Linked DNA regions of Arabidopsis thaliana. The protein of the gene in region 2 binds, or shares a complex with, the protein of the main gene of each other region. Each region holds a gene or a part of one and is shown on either strand. Other genes may lie near its edges.

Region 1 (5,800 bases), on a different chromosome or scaffold from region 2:
TGGCCGAGGAAACCGGGGAGATGTTACGATATTGCCAACATTAGTCATCAATAACGCTCAATATCGAGGTTTGGTACTTGATATTTTTTCAGTTTCACTCTCTCTTTATGAAGATGCTGAAGTTTCTGTTGTTATTGGTTGCAATTGTGAAGGGAGATTGGAGAGAACCGCGGTTTTAAAGGCGATATGCGCTGGTTTTAATGAAACATCGGAGCCTGCCATTTGCTTAAACACAGGTCTAGAGACAAATGAGTGCCTTGAAAACAATGGTGGTTGCTGGCAGGATACAAAAGCAAACATCACTGCTTGTCAAGTATGTCGTAAAACCGAGCTTACCACATCACATCTCACCACTATATTGAATATCAGTATCAATTTGTTTGGAATTGTTTTGAAAACTAGAGAAAATGTGAAAATCTAGAGAGATATTTTCTAGTCCTATAATACTTGAATCTTTTTTGTTTGATCAGGACACATTCAGAGGAAGACTCTGCGAGTGTCCGGTTGTAAAAGGTGTTCAATATAAAGGAGACGGGTACACTTCATGTACACGTAAGTTGTTCACACATTTCACACAACATAGCTCTCAAATGTTGAGACCGGTTTCTTGAATAGTCTCTGGTTTGTGATTGAGCTTTGCAGCTTATGGGCCTGCGAGGTGTACTATGAACAATGGAGGTTGCTGGTCTGACACAAGGAACGGCTTAACTTTCTCTGCTTGCTCAGTTTAGTGATTCTCTTGTCATAAGCCAAACCCTCCCTTACAAAGTTCTTGTTTTCAGTTCAATCATCTCTTTGTTATTTATGAAAAATTAGGACTCTGTATCTACTGGCTGCAAATGTCCTGAAGGTTTCCAAGGCGACGGTTTGACGTGTGAAGGTACATAACTCTTAACTTATCGATTAAAATCTCGAAAGAAACCACATAATCATATTACCAACAATGTAATTATGTTTTCTGATTTGGCTCTATTGCAGATATTAACGAATGTAAAGAGCGTTCGGTATGTCAATGTAGCGGTTGCAGATGCAAGAACTCATGGGGTGGATACAAATGCAGCTGTTCTGGTGACCGGCTTTACATAAACGATCAAGATACTTGTATAGGTAAAATTTTATCAATCAAGATTTAAGAGTACTCAAATTCCATAACAGTATCTAATTAATATACATTGATGATTGTTTGTTACAGAGAGATATGGATCCAAAACGGCATGGTGGCTCACATTCTTGATACTGGCTATCGTTGCAGTAGCCGGTTTAGCTGGTTATATATTCTACAAATACCGGTTCAGGGTACTACTACTCTTTCTGATTCCACAAAAGCATTTTTGTACTTAATAACGGTTTTAGGATTACCAAACTAACTTTTCTTTGGTGTTCCTATTAACAGTCTTACATGGACTCAGAGATTATGACGATCATGTCACAGTATATGCCACTTGAGAGCCAAAGAGCTCGTGAAGTTCCATCAGAAGCCGAGCCTTTTACACTCTAATAGTATATGACCAAAGTAACCAAAACTGTCATACACAAAGAAATGTTTGAGATCAATTAATGTACATATGAATTATACTGTAAAAATAAAAGAGTGAGATAGAGTTGTGTATATTTTCATGGCAAAAAAATAAATAATTTGGATGTAAAGAGACTTTTGAAGAAAATAAAACAAATATTGCTTTCATTGAGAGTTGAACTCAAGACCTCCCGCTTACTAAACGGGTGCTCTAACCAACTGAGCTATGAAAGCTTCTTGCAACATATTATTCCAAATAAATTATATCGTAAACTAAGAGTTAAAATCTTGAAAACAAAGGATAACGATCTTCGTCTCCCTCTGCTAAACCCATTTTCTTCTGTTGAGGAATGGCTTCTTCAGTCTCTCTTCAGTTCCTGACCAACACCTTTATCTCCAAACCTCAGGTTCTTAATCTTATCTCTCTGTATCACCTAATGTTTCTATGTCATGTGTGTGTGTGTGTGTCTGTCTTTGTCTGAATTTTCTGAGTACTCCTCATGTTTTTTCCGGTCGGACAAAGGGTTTCTGCAACGGAATTGTGTCAGCACCAAGACCCAGAAGCAATTTATTAAGAGACAGACAAAATGGTGTACGACCCATCAAAGTTGCGTCTATTGAGACACAACCTTTCCCTCTGTTTCAATCTCCTGCTTCCGAAGAATCTTCCTCGTCCGAGGTTAGGATTTTCAGTTTTGAGTGTTTTAGGGTTTATAGAGTTCTAAAAGGCAGTACCTTTGACAATTCTTTGCATTGCCCCTATCTGGGAGATTGATTTAGAGTACAAATGAGTTCTAAAGGTAGTACCTTTAGACAATTCTGTTCATTGCCCCCATATGTGATATTGATTTAGGGTACATATGAGTTCTTAAGGCAGTAACTTTAGACAATTCTGTGCATTGCCTCCATCTGTGAGATTGATATAGGGGACTTCTTAAGGCAGAAACTTTAGACAATCTTGTGCATTGCCCTCATCTGTGAGATTGATGTAGGGTACAAATGAGTTCTAACGGCAGTAACTTTAGACAATTCTGTGCATTTCCCTCATATGTGAGATTGATTTAGGGTTTTTGTCTTTTGTTTCTTCACTAGCTGGAGACAGCAGATCCGGATTTCTACAAAATTGGCTATGTTCGAAGTGTGAGAGCTTATGGAGTTGAGTTTAAAGAAGGTCCAGATGGTTTTGGTGTCTATGCTTCTAAGGATATCGAACCTCGCCGTCGAGCTAGAGTCAGTCTTCTTAGTTAAAAAGTTGACAACTTTTTGTTTTGTTCTTCTCTTTAGATTATTTTGTTTTCTTTTCTCTCTGCAGGTGATTATGGAGATTCCTCTTGAACTGATGATAACCATTAGACAGAAGCACCCTTGGATGTTTTTCCCTGATATTGTACCAATTGGTCATCCTATTTTCGATATCATTAACTCGACTGATCCTGAGGTAGTAACACATTTGTGCTATTTCGATATCATCAACTCGAAAGTTCTTATCTTTCTCAAAGTCCTTTCACATTTGTGCTTACAGATTGATTGGGATATCAGATTAGCGTGTCTTCTGTTATTCTCTTTTGATCGAGATGATCACTTCTGGCGGCTCTATGGCGATTTCCTGCCGGCTGCTGATGAGTGCAGCAGCTTGCTTTTAGCTACAGAGGTGGATTGAATTGATATGATTGCCATTTGAAACTGGTCACATTTACTTGTGTCTTTAAACTAATGCTTGATGATATCTAATTCTGTGTGTTTTTCTATAGGAAGACCTTGCGGAGCTTCAAGATCCTGATCTTGTTTCAACTATCAGACAACAACAGAAACGAATCCTAGATTTTTGGGAAAAGAATTGGGTAATGAGGCCTTATATATGTGTTTCCAGTATATCTTGACATTTGGTTATTGCTTTGTTTTTCATTGGCAAATTGTATTCCGTCTCAGCATTCAGGTGTTCCTCTCAAAATCAAAAGGCTTGCCGAGGATCCAGAAAGATTCATATGGGCGGTTAGTATGGCACAGACACGATGCATCAGTATGCAAACTAGGGTCGGTGCTTTGGTTCAGGAATTAAATATGATGATTCCTTATGCTGGTAAGGAAGAGCATGTTGTGTAGTTATTGATAAATTAAGATTTAGTATCAATGAACTTTTTGTTGAGGAACTAAATAAGAATCTCACGATTGATCATTCTCTGCAGACATGCTAAACCACTCATTTGAACCAAACTGTTTCCTACATTGGCGTCCTAAAGATCGCATGCTGGAGGTTATGTCAAATGCTGGTCAAGACATTAAGAAAGGCGAAGAGGTAAGAGACTCAAATGTTCCTAAGTGTCAGCCTCACTTCACTGCTTTATCTATCTTCTTATAATGCTTTTCACAGATGACGATTAATTACATGCCAGGCCAGAAAAACAACATGCTTATGGAAAGATACGGCTTCTCAACTCCTGTGGTAATGCTTTTTACGACAATCACATTCATCTTACACAAACTATGTTTCCTTTGCAAGTTTTCTCGTTTATTCAGTTTTTCTGGTCTGCTGCAGAATCCGTGGGATGCTATAAAGTTCTCTGGAGATTCTCGCATCCATTTAAATTCCTTTTTATCGGTCTTCAATATTTATGGTCTTCCTGAAGAATATTACCATGACAGTAAGTTCCTTTTCTTCTGTTTCCTCTCTATTCCTTGACAAAAGATGGAGAAATGAGCACCAATGTTACCTAAATCTGTGGCAGGCGAGTTATCGAGGGGCGATACTTTTGTTGATGGAGCAGTTATCGCTGCAGCAAGAACATTACCTACTTGGTCAGACATAGATCTTCCTCCAATACCGAGTGCGGAAAGAAAAGCAGTTAAAGAATTGCAAGATGAATGTCGAAAGATGCTTGCGGAATATCCCACAACAGCAGAGCAAGACCAGAAGTTGCTAGGTATTACACTAAAGATATATACACCAATGTGTTATTATCTATTATCGCTCATATACTAAAACTTAAGCTTTCCCTCTTGTTGTTGTGACAGATTCAATGTCAGAAGCAAGGACAACATTTGCAACAGCGGTTAAGTATAGAATGCACAGAAAGATGTTCATCGGAAAAATTATCAAGGCACTTGACATCTATCAAGAACGGTTACTCTATTGATTCAAGCAAAAAATAATTATGAGCTGAGTGAGATTCATACTTGGTGCTCACTCCCTTGAGCTACTTAGAAACTGCACCATGTAATTGAAAGGTTCCTGTTTTTTTTTTTGTTTAGTGTAAGGTTATGTATTTGTATGGAACAGTTAGACTAAGTGTGTTAGTTTGTTTTAATCGCAATCACAAACAAATCATAACCTCTTCTTTTCTTGGCTGCTTTAATGAGTTTGATTAGCCAACAAACGCTTTGGAATCATCTGTGTTTTTTTTTTCTCTTTTGATTAATTCATGTTCATGTTTTTAGTCCCTAAGCATGATTAGTGTCTCAAATGTTTTAGGGTAATTGTGTCTCTTACGCCGAACTATAATGTTGATTAGTCTCAATAATTGATTATTACTTATACTATTTATTAACCTTGTGGTTACACTAATCAATCAAATCATATTGCGTTTCTTCTACTCTTTGTCTAACATTACTATTTTCAAAAAAAGTTACGGTCCAAACCAAACAAACCTACTCTGAGTTATACAGAACCATAAGCAATCTATTTCTTACCTTTGGCTACTTATTTGATACTTTACATTGACTAACTTGATTCTTAATAATTATCTTCAATATGTTGAATATTTTATTTTTGAAGTAAGACCACTATGCGTTTCATAATTCTTGCCATGCATAATGAAATTATTCCTTTGAATTTAAGATTAATTAAAGTATAAATCAACCAAACAATAGACAAAAAAAAATAAAAAAAAATAAGCATCTTGATCTTTTTGGTGGATCGAAGATAATTCCTTTGTCTCATTCTTTTGGATTTAGAATCTCGTTCAGTAGAATATTAACATTTTTAATTATAGATTATCAATTATCGAACAAGTTGTTGTACGTAAACTTGATTCGATCTAGCGTTATTACAGTCAACCAAAATTTATATAATAATAACAATTTATGAAAATGACAATATTATTCGATGTATTATTCCTTTTTTCCTATAATTAGATAGGTGTGATTAAATTCAAGCTAGATTCCGAATCGACAACAACATATTATATCTATTATTAACCTCAATTTTTGAAGGCAAAAAACACACGAAATTATTCAAAACTCACGAGTTGATTCTTTACTTCGATGAACATATAAATTGGGAAAGTA
Region 2 (3,928 bases):
AGAATCTGACTTAAGGATGAAGCTAGTGATACTAGTATCTTTCTTGCTCGTTCTCCCAATGTTTTCTTCAGGTATATAGATCTGATCAACTAACATATGCAAACTTATAGTAGCTTTAACATTTTATATAGGTCAATATAGAACTCCGAATTGAATAAATATGCTTCATATTTTTGTTAGGGATCGTTGAGACTTTGCATCATGACAACATCAACCGCAAGGTATTAACAATCACGGTTCTAAAAGCGTTATATATTTGATTACAAATATGCATCAAAACTAAAAACAAAAAGATATAAAACTTGTTGATTTAAAAAGGTTAAAGAGATGGTCATGAATGGAAGAAGAATCGATCTGGAGATGGACTACGCTGGGCCGCATCTAAGACCTCCCAAGCCATCCGACCCTACAATTCCAGGAACACAAGTACGTGCCCTATAGCAAAAATGAAGTATTACGAAAAGTGTCTTCCTTTTTTAATAGTGTATGAGTTTGGTTTTGAAAGGTTGATGAGGTTGTGACAAAGGAACCAACTGTCTATAACAAAGAAGACTATGGGGACTGGTCTCCAAGACCAATCCCAAAACGACCAATGCCATATGTACCTCCTCCTCCTCCTCCACCGACACGACGACCTCCTTTCACCACAAATCACTAGACCGTTACTTTTACTAAACTCTTGTCATTAGACTTTCGTCTTCATCTAGTAAATCTAAATAAATAAAATGAAATTTGGCCAAGAAAACAACAAAGCTGTGAATGCATTGATTTGGTTTTGGTAATACAAGAACAAAAGCTGTAAAGTACATTGACACTTTTTGTTATAATATATCAAGTGTAGTACTCCAACAAATAGCCAGGACCGGGTTTGTAAGGATCAGCTTCTACATAAGCCTCAGGGCGATCAAAGCCGAGATCGTTCACACGGTTGCTTAGAACATGAAAGATGGCTTTTTTGGAACCTCCATATTCGTCTCTGTTCTTGTCCACGTACTCTGTTGCTTCAGCTGCTACGCTATTGACAAATTCAAACCGATTGTCTTCCCTCAAAAGAAGCTGCTCTATGTCCATTGTCATTACCTTCCCAACTTCTCTTATCTTCCTTACTTGTTCTTCCACAAATGGAACTCTTTGCATTTTGTAACGCAACATATCGTCCTTCTTCGTCTACAGACAAAACAGGAGAACGACATAGAGAGATTAAAAGCGGGACAAATATAAACAAAGATTTTGCATTGTTCTGGCTTTGGTAATTATTGAAATCTCAAAACCTCATGAACCTGATAGGATCAAACAACAGAAACTGATAGTTTGTAGAATATAGTACAAGTAAAAAGATCACACTAATATTTTATGTAATGTGTAACTCCCACCTAAAAATCCCAGTATCTCAGATAAGACAATCTCCAATTTCTTGCATGTGCCATAGAGATAAGACCATGGTTACTTGAATATATATAAGTAAACACTAACTAGAGGTAAAAAGCCATGTTTCTTTAAGTTCATCAACAGTATAAGAACTAAAGCTAGCGTCTGAAATGAGCATAGTTCAACAAAGACACTTTTGAAACAGGTGTGTAAGCTAATTTGGAATCAAGAAGGGTAAACTAGAAATCGCAAAAACTCAGAGAAGACAATCTCCATCTCTCCTTCTATGCATCATATCAATTACTATGACTAAGTAAAGACTAACTAGAGTTAATAGTCATGCCTCATCAGTGAGTTAAAGCTAATCTGTGATCCTACTAAAAATTGCAACTTTTTAGAAATGTCGTCTCCAAGCAAAGAAAAACCCTTATTTTGATTCCTGATTCGACTTATGTCATAAACATGAAACTGGAAAATCACCAAAATATCAAGTTTAGTACTTACCAATGTTCTCCTCCGCCAAACACGGCGTCCATTATCATCTCTCTGAATCCCACAAGAAACCTGAAAAAATCAACCAGATTCACTCAAAACTCTCCCCCAAAAACCCACAAATTCGTATATATATCAACCATTCAAAACCTGAGACTGAAATGTGCATCGCAAATTCCCACTTCTCGTATCAATAATCTGAATATACAATAATTGAAAATGAGAAATCACATTGACATCAAAGGATGATTATGAGAGAAGCAAAGGAGGGATTTTTACAGGTAAAATCGAAGATGGAGAAGAACAGGTGAAGGAAGCCATTGATACACAGTGAATAGATAGAACCGGATCCTATTTTATATGTAAGCTTCTCCGGTTCGGTTTAATGGTTTATCTTTGGTTGTGTTCGTATTTGGACAAATCATTCCTAACCGAACCGGGCATTTTTTTTTCTCGTCATTTTATCTATACAATAATAATTCAACTTGCACAAAAAAAAAATCTAAAACAAATCAAAACTAACAACAAATCTAAAATCATATAATTTTACTTGGTACACAAAAATAATATTTTTCAGAAATCAATCAATCTAATAATAGTTAGTGGGAACCCTCTATTGTGACTTTGTGAGCTATGTATATACATAAGACATTACAAGATGGAACCTCAACATAGTTGATAAGCAAAGAAATTAACTCTATCGATCACCGGATGAGAAAATGGCTTCTAGGAATCATCTCTTAATATGTTGTGTTCTCTTAGCTATGATCATGATCGGGCATGCTCAAACCAACCGGAAACTTCTTGACGATAATGTACCATCATCTTATTTTCCATCGATGGAGTCTCGTCAGGTTTTTCTTCCTTCTTCTCATCGTTCACTTGTTGCTGAGCATTACGACAGATCACCACCTCCACCACCACCCAAAAGATCAGAAGTTGAACCCCAAACTGATGGTGTCTAGACCATTGAGTGATGGTGAGAATCGGCCCTGATGAAAAGACTCGTGAGTTGGTACCATGTTTTGAAAGAGCATACATATGTTTTGATGTTTGGTTTTATGATCCGGTTTATAAGAGCTACCTAATTTTTGAAGGCTTGGTTTGATTTAGTTTTCTTTGCTTTCTAAAGTAAAATCTCCGGAAAAGTTGTCTCTGTTTTTTTCTTCTTTATTTTTATCTGTATACGTGTACTTCATTCTTGGTGACAATAAATTTGACTTGTTTCAAATTAATTAATGTAATATTTGTAAATGGTAAGTTAATACAACAGAAAAGTCGATGATACTATCTTTTTGAATAGGTAGATTTACCGAACGAATACCACATTACCACGGCTTAAAAAAAAAAAAAGAAAAAAGGGAGGATTAGTCTCAAACATTCTTAATCAATTTCAAAAACTGGATAAATAAAAGCAAAAGTTTCAAAAACATAATTATTCTTGCAACAGTAATTGATGCAAAATATATATTAAACTGTCAAATAATATTTCGAGAACGAAATTGTATATATAAACTTGCTGTTAATTTGGTTAAAATCGGCAGTAAAATAATTCACAGCAAGTTTTACTACGCTTGTAAACAAAACTGCATTCACACTCTGACAGTCATAAGGTATACACAAAATCATAGAATCATGGACATATTTTGTAACACATATATTGACAATTTGACATTACGTAAATGCAATTAAAACTGGAATGTAATTTCCGGTTTACCAGTCAACATACAAAACCAGCTTTCGGTTTAATATTCGTCCAAATAAGTGTAGAGCGTATCGTCCTTCTTTGTTTTGCGTCGGCTAAGTAGCGCCTTTAGCAGCCGTTTGCTCTTGCTCGGTTGTTGTTGATGCTCTGGTTCTTTCTGAGCTTCTTTCTCGAACGCAACCCGAACCGAAGCCGATCTTCTTGGTTCTGACGGATACTGAGCCAGAAAATATCAAGAATCAACCGTTAGAGATAGAGCCTAGAAGTGAGTGTTTTTGAAATGTAACCGAAGCTTACCCGTTTAGGAGTTGGAGTTACCGCTCTACTCTTGCTCGGGGTTGTTGGCCGGCTGATTGATGACGG

Evidence for each region.
Region 1: PTAC7 (region 2) and PTAC14 share a complex: the UniProt entries of both Arabidopsis thaliana proteins name them as parts of the transcriptionally active chromosome (TAC) complex.

The regions. Positions count from the first base shown.
Region 1 is NC_003075.7:10,877,048-10,882,847, forward strand, and holds PTAC14 (plastid transcriptionally active 14), read left to right. Parts: upstream 1-1,769; 5' UTR 1,770-1,866; coding exon 1,867-1,923; intron 1,924-1,978; exon of another isoform or gene 1,979-2,039; coding exon 2,040-2,195; intron 2,196-2,608; coding exon 2,609-2,746; intron 2,747-2,793; exon of another isoform or gene 2,794-2,828; coding exon 2,829-2,954; intron 2,955-3,038; coding exon 3,039-3,167; intron 3,168-3,267; coding exon 3,268-3,357; intron 3,358-3,445; coding exon 3,446-3,596; intron 3,597-3,702; coding exon 3,703-3,812; intron 3,813-3,887; coding exon 3,888-3,959; intron 3,960-4,052; coding exon 4,053-4,158; intron 4,159-4,242; coding exon 4,243-4,437; intron 4,438-4,528; coding exon 4,529-4,650; 3' UTR 4,651-5,005; downstream 5,006-5,800. Other genes in the region: VSR7 (VACUOLAR SORTING RECEPTOR 7), read left to right, coding at 1-68, 153-313, 471-552, 643-725, 817-880, 979-1,107, 1,193-1,296, 1,394-1,498. UniProt on the Arabidopsis thaliana protein: Essential for chloroplast development, especially for thylakoid formation. Involved in plastid gene expression, probably by maintaining plastid-encoded RNA polymerase (PEP) activity.
Region 2 is NC_003076.8:8,276,003-8,279,930, reverse strand, and holds PTAC7 (plastid transcriptionally active7), read right to left. Parts: upstream 2,232-3,928; 5' UTR 2,182-2,231; coding exon 2,140-2,181; intron 2,059-2,139; coding exon 2,011-2,058; intron 1,933-2,010; coding exon 1,849-1,932; intron 1,168-1,848; coding exon 832-1,167; 3' UTR 737-831; downstream 1-736. Other genes in the region: AT5G24316 (proline-rich family protein), read left to right, coding at 1-71, 181-221, 319-426, 506-658; AT5G24313 (uncharacterized protein), read left to right, coding at 2,580-2,825; ABIL3 (ABL interactor-like protein 3), read right to left, coding at 3,606-3,782, 3,863-3,928. UniProt on the Arabidopsis thaliana protein: Essential for chloroplast development, especially for thylakoid formation. Involved in plastid gene expression, probably by maintaining plastid-encoded RNA polymerase (PEP) activity.